Rhinolophus ferrumequinum: one gene and its partner. The protein of the gene in region 2 purifies or fractionates together with the protein of the main gene of each other region. This does not show direct contact. Links are inferred from orthologs where the notes say so. Each region holds a gene or a part of one and is shown on either strand. Other genes may lie near its edges. The genes, in order: RNPS1 and TRA2B.

Region 1 (3,911 bases), on a different chromosome or scaffold from region 2:
TTAAGAACTATGAATTCGTCATGTGCCCTATATTTGCCTGGGTGCTGCCTCAGGCAAATATATGAGGCAATTATAATTTTGCCTCATAATTCCAGTGAGGTTTTGTACACTTTGCTTGAGTTGTAAGCAAAGACTTCAGGATGTTAGTCTTACCTACTTCTCTCCCACCTTTCTCCATAGCCTTTAAGTAACCTGGACACCACACAGAAGTTGGGATTCTGTTTCTGTGTGTGTAGGGGTGCCCAAAATGCTGAATAATATTCTGACTCAACAAAGAGTGCCTGGCTTTGGACAATCAAATTGAGTGGAAGAGAAGAGAATACCACCCTTGCTCTTCTTTTCCAGGGCTGTAAAATCTTTAACGTGTTTTGCCTTAAAACAATAAGTTACTATACACACCAACCTGACAACACCAGATGAGGTTAGCGTCCTTGGACAATCAGTAAGTATAATTCAGTGGTTCTGCGAGTCTGGGGTCAACCTGCTTGAGTCAGCTTTACTGTGTGACCTTGGATAAGTCACTTAACCTTTCTGAGCCTCTATTTCTCACCAGTATTATGGTGACAATTACAGTTCCTACATCTCATAGTTAAAGAACATTAATCAAATTAACCCATGAAGAAGACTTGGCACCTAGTTAAGGCACCGTAAATGTTTGCTAACGTTAGAAGAAAGGGCCATTTCTCCACAGTTGGAGGCTCTTTCCCACATAAACCCTTGTCTCCAAAGTCACATATCTCTAAATACTCAACAGGGGTCCCTGGATGGCGTCCATTGGGATCACCTGAGCAGCACCATCCAACAGTGCCTAAGCTTCAAACATGTCCTAAAATCTTCTAGTAGCCACATTACAAAAAACATAAGTTAACAGTGACGTTAACACACTATACTAATAAGTTAACACACTATACTCCAAATATTATCTTTTCAACATGTAATAAGTATAAAAAATAAAATATTCAACCCCCTGCTCTCCAAGTCTTTTAAACACCTCATTTGGGTTAGGTGTATTTCAAGTGCTTGATAAGCCCTATGTGGCCAATGGCTACCTTCCTGAACTGCGTTGACCTAGAATTGACCAGATTCCAGGCCCCACCCGGGTCCTAAAGACCTGTCCCCATGTCCTTTGTGAAAACAAGCACTACCAGTTATTCTTAAACACACAGAAGATTAAGAACCACCGAGTAAACGAATGCTTTGCTGGATGTGGCCGAATGCTAGAAAGCAAAGGTTGAAGGTTTCTGTTCACACAAGTTCAGGTAACAGCACAGGACTTTGTTTACCTCCCCCATCCTCCGGAAAGGTGCGCGTCCAACAGCCAGAGAGAGGAGAAAACAATTAGTTAAATCTCGAGCAAATGGCGTTTCAGCTCAAACCTTCGGAGCACCTTCCCCATTTAAAAGTGTGTTTTAGGCACAATTCATGCAAAAAAAAAAATCAGAGAAAAAGCCACGTCTCTTCAACACTGATTTTAACTGTCCGGTATGCTCCCTTCTGAGCTCCATGATTTCAAGGGGCCGTATCTCCAAGGACTAGCACCGAGAACGGCATACAGGAGCCCGGTAAACGTTCCTGGAGTGAATGTTTGAATTAATAGCCCCGAAGGGAGGATCAGCCGGTCTTCCAGGTCACCCCACTAAGCAACTTCGCACCCAACGGCACGGGCCCCGCACGCGACCTAGCCAACCCCGTCCGCGTTCACTCACAACTCCCCAGTCCAGGCGCCGGGCCGCGAGCGCTTCCAGGGCAGGGCCCAGCGTTGCGGGCCTGGGTCTCCAGCCCGGCGAGAGGGCCTTGAGGGCTGAGGCCGCGCTCCCGGCAGCTCCGAGTCCCGCGGGCCCAACTCGAACCTTCGCAGAGCGGACGAAGCGAGGGCGCCCTTCCGCCCGCCGCGGCCCCGACCACTTCCGGGCCGCGGCCTCGGTACCTCCCACTCCGCCCACCCCGGGCCACACTCTTTCTTCTTGGACCCCGAGCTGCGCCGCCAGGCCGCTGTCCCCACCGCGGGACCGGGGAGCGCGTCGGATCCACGATGCACCCCACCGAGCCCGGCAGGCGCCCCCCCGAAGCTCGGATGGGGTTGGATTCCCACACTTACATCTTCCCGCCGCCCAGACCTCCTCCCGCTCTTCTTGGCCGCTGATGCCGGCGCCGCTCTGTCGTCAGGAAGAGGGAGCGGGAAGAGGCCGCCGCTCGGCGCGCAGCGATGACGTAATACGCCTTAGCCAATGGGCGCGAGCGCGCGGTGTTAAGGGCCGAGGCCGTTTGTGGCGAGCGGTGTAAGGGGCGCTTACTCCGTCTCCTTCTCTGGAGAGGTGCTTCCGACTGCGCGCCTCCTGGGGCCGGCAAATTAGCTGCTTGCTGGGGCCCGGGGTTCGCGCCGTGGGGGCAGCTCACGGGCCGGGACCGAGGGGGTTAACGCAGCCCCGCTCTTTGCCTTGCGCGTGCGCACTGGGCTCGCGGCGGGCCTGGCCGTAGTGTGGGCGGCGAGCCTCGTACCGGTTTGCTTCGCGCCCTGGGCCGCCGGTTGGTGGCAGAGGAGGGGTTCGCAGGCGCTGCGGCCTCTGCCGGCCGGCCGTGGGCACCCCTAGGGCGGAGGCGGCTCAGCGGGCCGGGCCGGTGTGGGGATGGGTTCCTGCGGTCTAAAACCACTCATGATGTGCGGAGTGACCGTGTCAACGTGGCTTCTGCGCTGGCGGAACTTGGCGGGGTGGATAAGGCGGGGCAGAGCGGCCGGCACCCACCGGGATCAAAAGGCAGTGTAGAAGACAAGATGCATACGGGGAAGCGTCGCCGAGTGGAAGGGCGCGCCGACAGAGGGAACAGCTGATGCAAAGACGCGGAGGCTCGTTGGAAGAAGCGAAGGGAGGCCGGTGCGGCCAGTGCGACGGCTCGCAGCAGCGGTGCCGGGGACGAGGAGAATGTGCAAGATACAGGCCGAGGCTTCATGCCCCGGCCGGTGGACGGTGGGCAGGGAGGCACTGTCCGAGCCTCCTGGCAAAGGCAGAAGGAGGGGTGAGAGGCCTGGGCCCAGGCGGGAAGCTGTCCAGTAAAACCCGGAGCTGAGAGGGCTAGGCTTTTGGGTTTTGTTCAACTCTGTGCCAACCCGCGTACCCCCTCCAGACCCCGCCCCCTTCCGTGCCTGGCAAGTGGACCTTGCTCCATGACTGTTAGTGGGAGGAAGAAGGGTGCACCCAGTCCCAGACCTTGTCAGAACTGGTAGGTGCAGCAAGGAAGAGAAGGGAATAGATCCAAGGTGCTATTTTGGTGGAAGGAACCTATGTGACTTGGAGGCAGATGTCAGCAGGAAGGACATGCTTAGTGACACATGGTGGATGGATGGTGCTGTGGACGCTCTCTGCAAGTCATTGCTCTCTGCTTCACTTGGTATTCTCAGCCAGTGGATGGTGACTCCTTTCCGTCCTCCAGTACCTCTGGCCCTGTCCAGGGGTGTCGTGTGCCCCTAACACCTCACTCACCCTGGTCTGAGGGCTGTCTGAGGAGTTGGGGTCAAGAGAAGCCTGGGAGGAGCAGCCTGCCCCTGAATCCCTTCCCCTGAGACACCAACATGTTTCTGGTGGTGGGTCAGCAGGCAGCATCAGTCTGGGTCAGGATTCTCCCTTTGGATTTAGATTTGAGGGGTGCAGGGGGGCCATTTAGAGCAAGTTAAATTCTCTGCATCACTGTCACATTTGCCAAGGCCAGGCATGGAGGGGTAAGCGGAACAGAAGGGCGGCCCTGTTCCTGCAATAGTGAAGGGGCCCAGAGGGTCAGCATTGGGGATGGGCTGGCCCTGGTTGTCCAGGTCGCACGTGCAGTTCTGTGAGGAGGCTGTGGCAGCATGTTGGAGCCCCACACGTCCTGGGCCAACCATCAGTGCAGGTCTGAAGGGCCCCAAACCCAGAGCCTTT
Region 2 (3,911 bases):
TTATTAAAGATTTAGATAAATGAGGGGGAGATTACAGTTGAACTGATTAGATTTCTATTAGTGACATGTGAACAGTTTGGAATGTTTGAGAGCCTCAAGTGGAATAAAAGTTAATTTTTCAGGCCCCAGGAAGGCTACAAGGCTACAGTTGCATTCAGGGCAACATTACTGCCCTGAATGCAACTTTTTCAGCTTTCAGGCACTTCCAAAAGGAAATTTTTAGCCAATCAGGCCTGACCGTTCTACCTAGCTCTTTTTATGGCATTTTATTTTAATTTTTCCATTGACCTTTATGGTTTGCCAAGCATTCTTTTTAACCCATCACGTGTTTTAGGTCTATCCTAACAACTTCAGGTTCCAAAAGGCTAGTTTGAAAGCAATCAACATACAAAACAAACACCAAACCAAATGGAAGCACCCCACAACTTCAGGTTAGAAAATCTCTTCCAGGAAGTCAAGACTCTTAGATAAGAAAAAATTATTAGTTTCTAATATGTAGTTTTAAGTTACTCTGTAGTTCTCTCTCACTCTGTAATAATTTAGTTGATAGCTATTATATGTAGCAGCATTGTGAAAAACACTGGGATGTATATACCCTACTAGAAGAAAATACAACCACTTCAAAAGCTTTTAATGGTTTGACATCTCTTGAGCTGCCTCAAACCAGGACCTAATTCCTACATTGTTTCCTCCCTTAATGTAAAATATACTAATTTATTTTCCTTTGGGCAATTTTTCATCTCCACAAGCGCACCGACACAAATAACTTACTCGGGTATATTCAATAGAGAGCGCCGCTAATCATAAGCCAGTCATTTTGCAGTCCCTAAATAGTGCAAAAGTACCCAATAATTTTATTTAATAACTGAGGACTTAAAATTGTTTTCCATTACCGGTCCAACCACCAGTGACTAGTTTCCACAGTATATTCAACTGGTAGAAACTATTAATAGAAGTCAGAGCCGTAACAATTTGTGAGCCCAATCCAAACTTTCTTACCGTAACATAGCCAAGAGCTTAAAAAAATAATCGCACATTGGTGACATTATAATCGTCTTAAGGGAAAAAACGTAAAAAGGCAGTATTTATCTGAATATGTAAAGGCGAGGCTTGATTAGTTCAAACCAAATTAAACATATTTGGCTCCAAAGTTAGAATAAGTTCATTAATGTACGAAGAGGTAAGACAGTTTACTTTTAAACCGCCCCCAAATCTGTTTCACACGCGTTTGCTAAGGTATTTGGATATATTTACCTATTATTGAGACTTAAAAAGAAAAACCTAACAAACTGTAAAAAAAATCCAACTTATTCCGATCAAGTTCTACGGTGCTTTTTATCACCCTAACAAATTCTCCTTAACCTTCAAATATCTAAGACTTGGGGGCAAGCCTTATACTGTGGCATCTTCAGTAGAACCCCCCACTCCGCAACCAAGCTTTACATCACGCTGGGAACTTTTATTCCTAAAATTTAATTAACCCTCACCGAACTCCTCAATCTGGGAGATAGAGACTTAAAAATACGGAAAAGCACTAGTTGTGGTCCACAGAATCAGAATACCTCAAAACAAAGGAAATAACGGCGCTATAAATCGTTGCCCGCCAATTTCTCCTACACAATCCAGTGGAAAAGTATCTACTCCATAAAATGATTAAAATGGAGACCTCGCGGTCCATTTTATTTGGGTACTATTTGGTTTGAAAGCCCTTTCAGTATCAAAGAAAAGCACTCGACTTAGGCCTAACATAAAGCCCACGCACAATCCCCTCATACTAACGGGCCTAGAATTTAGTCGGCCTCAGTTAAGTTTTCCCCAGCCTAAAAGTCCCAAGAACACACTAGATTTCATCCTTTAGGGGCCCACAGGACGACCCTTTCCTAACCTAAACATCGGGTAAAAGGCCCCAAACAACGTAGCCTGTTTTTTCCGCACCCGCCCCACGCGGCCTTGCGAGGCGCGGCCTGGCCTGCGTCGGCGCGCGGCTCCGCCGCCATTTTGTGCCTCTGGCAGCGCGCCCAGCCCGCCAGCCCAAGATGGCTGCGGCGAGCCTTCGCAGGAGAGCAACGGCGAAATAAGATCCGCTCCCCTCCCCCAACACCGAGGGGACGCAGCGGCCATCTTTAATCCCCCCTATAACGGAAAAAACCGCCGACTTGGGTACACGGCCACATAAACCTACCTGTGGTCTCCTTCACGGCTAAAAACACTATCCACAAAGGCTTTTAAAAACCGACTCCCATCCTCCCGGCCTCAGACTTCTCAGTCTAAATCGCCCGTCTCCCGGTCCGAGGCCGACGGGCCTAGAAAGAGACGCAAGAAGCTGGGACCACACAGCTGCCCCCTGCACCACCTCTACGTACCCGCTCGCCGTAGTTCTGCTCGCCGCTGTCGCTCATGACTCGTAGCTGCTGCCGCCGCTCAGCTCGACGTGCTTCAATCGAAGCTGCCAACCTCTTGCTTTCTTTACAGAGGTTCCGCCGCAGCCACCCAGAACACACTGGTTTCCAACCCGCTGGTAACCGAACTGCTCCGCACCGCCTCAACACGGGCTCTAACGCTCCCGGACGTGACGTGGCATCCTTAAGCCGGCTCCGCCCCCTCCCAGAACGCGCGCTTTCTTGGCTCCGCCCCTCAGCCCTCGGCTTTCCCTTTCCAGCAGTGGCGCGTTGAGAACTGGATGTGACGTAAGGCCCCGCGCTTCGCGCGGCCTCACCCACATCTGGATCTCTGTGAAGCGGAAAAGTGACCTGGTGGGTTGGCCTGTGGGGTGGTTGAGGTGGGGTGCAATGATAGCGCCGCGGGGTGCAGTGATGTCACTGGTCATGCCTGATTCCCTTGTGGAGCTTTCCTGGGAAACTGTCGTGGGCAGGGGAAAGGGGGGGAAAGAGATGCCCTCAGTTTCTCCCATCTTTTTTCCGCTTTATTTCTGTCTTTTTTTGCGCGTTTTGGTTGGAGAGGAACGATATCCATGTGCTGGGTTCTATGCTTTACATTTATTTAGAATAGTTATAGATCTTTTCTTCTTGAATAAACCTTCATTTGAGCACCTATTAAATAGCAAAGCACTTGACCGATCTTGATGCACTGAAGTTACACATAATCTCTGTTCACAATCTCTATTCTAAATACACAGTTGTAAACTTGATTTTAAGTGCTATAGGCATGCACATCTATAGTGATGTCACAAGGAGGGAAGATTAATTCTGCCATCAAACAACAGCATGGTATACAATAGTCTCCCTTTATCTGTGGTTTCGCTTTCCACGGTTTCAGTTAATGATCAACTGTAGACTGAAAATATTAAATGGAAAACTCCAGAAATAAACAACTCATAATTTTAAATTGTGCACCCTTCTGAGTAGTGTGAAGATCTGCCATCCTGCTCTATCCAGCCTGGGATGTGAATCATCTCTTTGTCTAGGGCTCCCCGCTGGTTGGTGACTTAGCCATCCCGGCTATTAGATCAACTGTCTTGGTGTCTTAGTGCCCCTGCAGTGGAAAGAGCTCAAATTTGGAAGTCGAAACCTCTCTGCACCTGTTGTTTCCCTTCTAGTAACTGGCTGGGAAACTGGCTGGTGAGGTACTTTGGTAGCGGTAAAAATCCGTTTGGCTTTCAAAAAGAGCTTTTTGAAATGTAATTCATATACCATGCAATACTCCCATTTAAAGTGTGCAATTCAAATGGTTTCTATTATATACACAGAATTGTGCAACCATCACCACAATTTTAGAACAGTTTCATTACCCCCCAAAAGAAACCTGAACTCATTAACGGTCATTGCCCATCTCCCTCTCCACCCCACCAGCTCTAAGAAATCTCACATCTATTTTGTCTCTATAGTTTTGCCTGTTCTGGACATTTCATACAAATGGAATCACATAATACGTAGTCCTTTGTGACTGGTTTC

The links.
Region 1: the proteins of TRA2B (region 2) and RNPS1 purify together in Homo sapiens (affinity purification with western blotting; 3 studies listed by BioGRID and IntAct, with this or other methods). This does not show direct contact. The link is inferred for Rhinolophus ferrumequinum from reciprocal best matches to the Homo sapiens genes TRA2B and RNPS1.

The regions. Positions count from the first base shown.
Region 1 is NW_022680357.1:3,985,572-3,989,482, forward strand, and holds the start of RNPS1 (RNA-binding protein with serine-rich domain 1), read right to left. Parts: upstream 2,236-3,911; 5' UTR 2,101-2,235; coding exon of another isoform or gene 2,099-2,100; intron 2,008-2,098; exon of another isoform or gene 1,707-2,007; intron 1,294-1,706; exon of another isoform or gene 1,284-1,293; intron 1-1,283. UniProt on the Homo sapiens protein: Part of pre- and post-splicing multiprotein mRNP complexes. Auxiliary component of the splicing-dependent multiprotein exon junction complex (EJC) deposited at splice junction on mRNAs.
Region 2 is NC_046285.1:59,568,894-59,572,804, reverse strand, and holds the start of TRA2B (transformer-2 protein homolog beta), read right to left. Parts: upstream 2,726-3,911; 5' UTR 2,400-2,725; coding exon 2,364-2,399; intron 1-2,363. UniProt on the Homo sapiens protein: Sequence-specific RNA-binding protein which participates in the control of pre-mRNA splicing. Can either activate or suppress exon inclusion. Acts additively with RBMX to promote exon 7 inclusion of the survival motor neuron SMN2.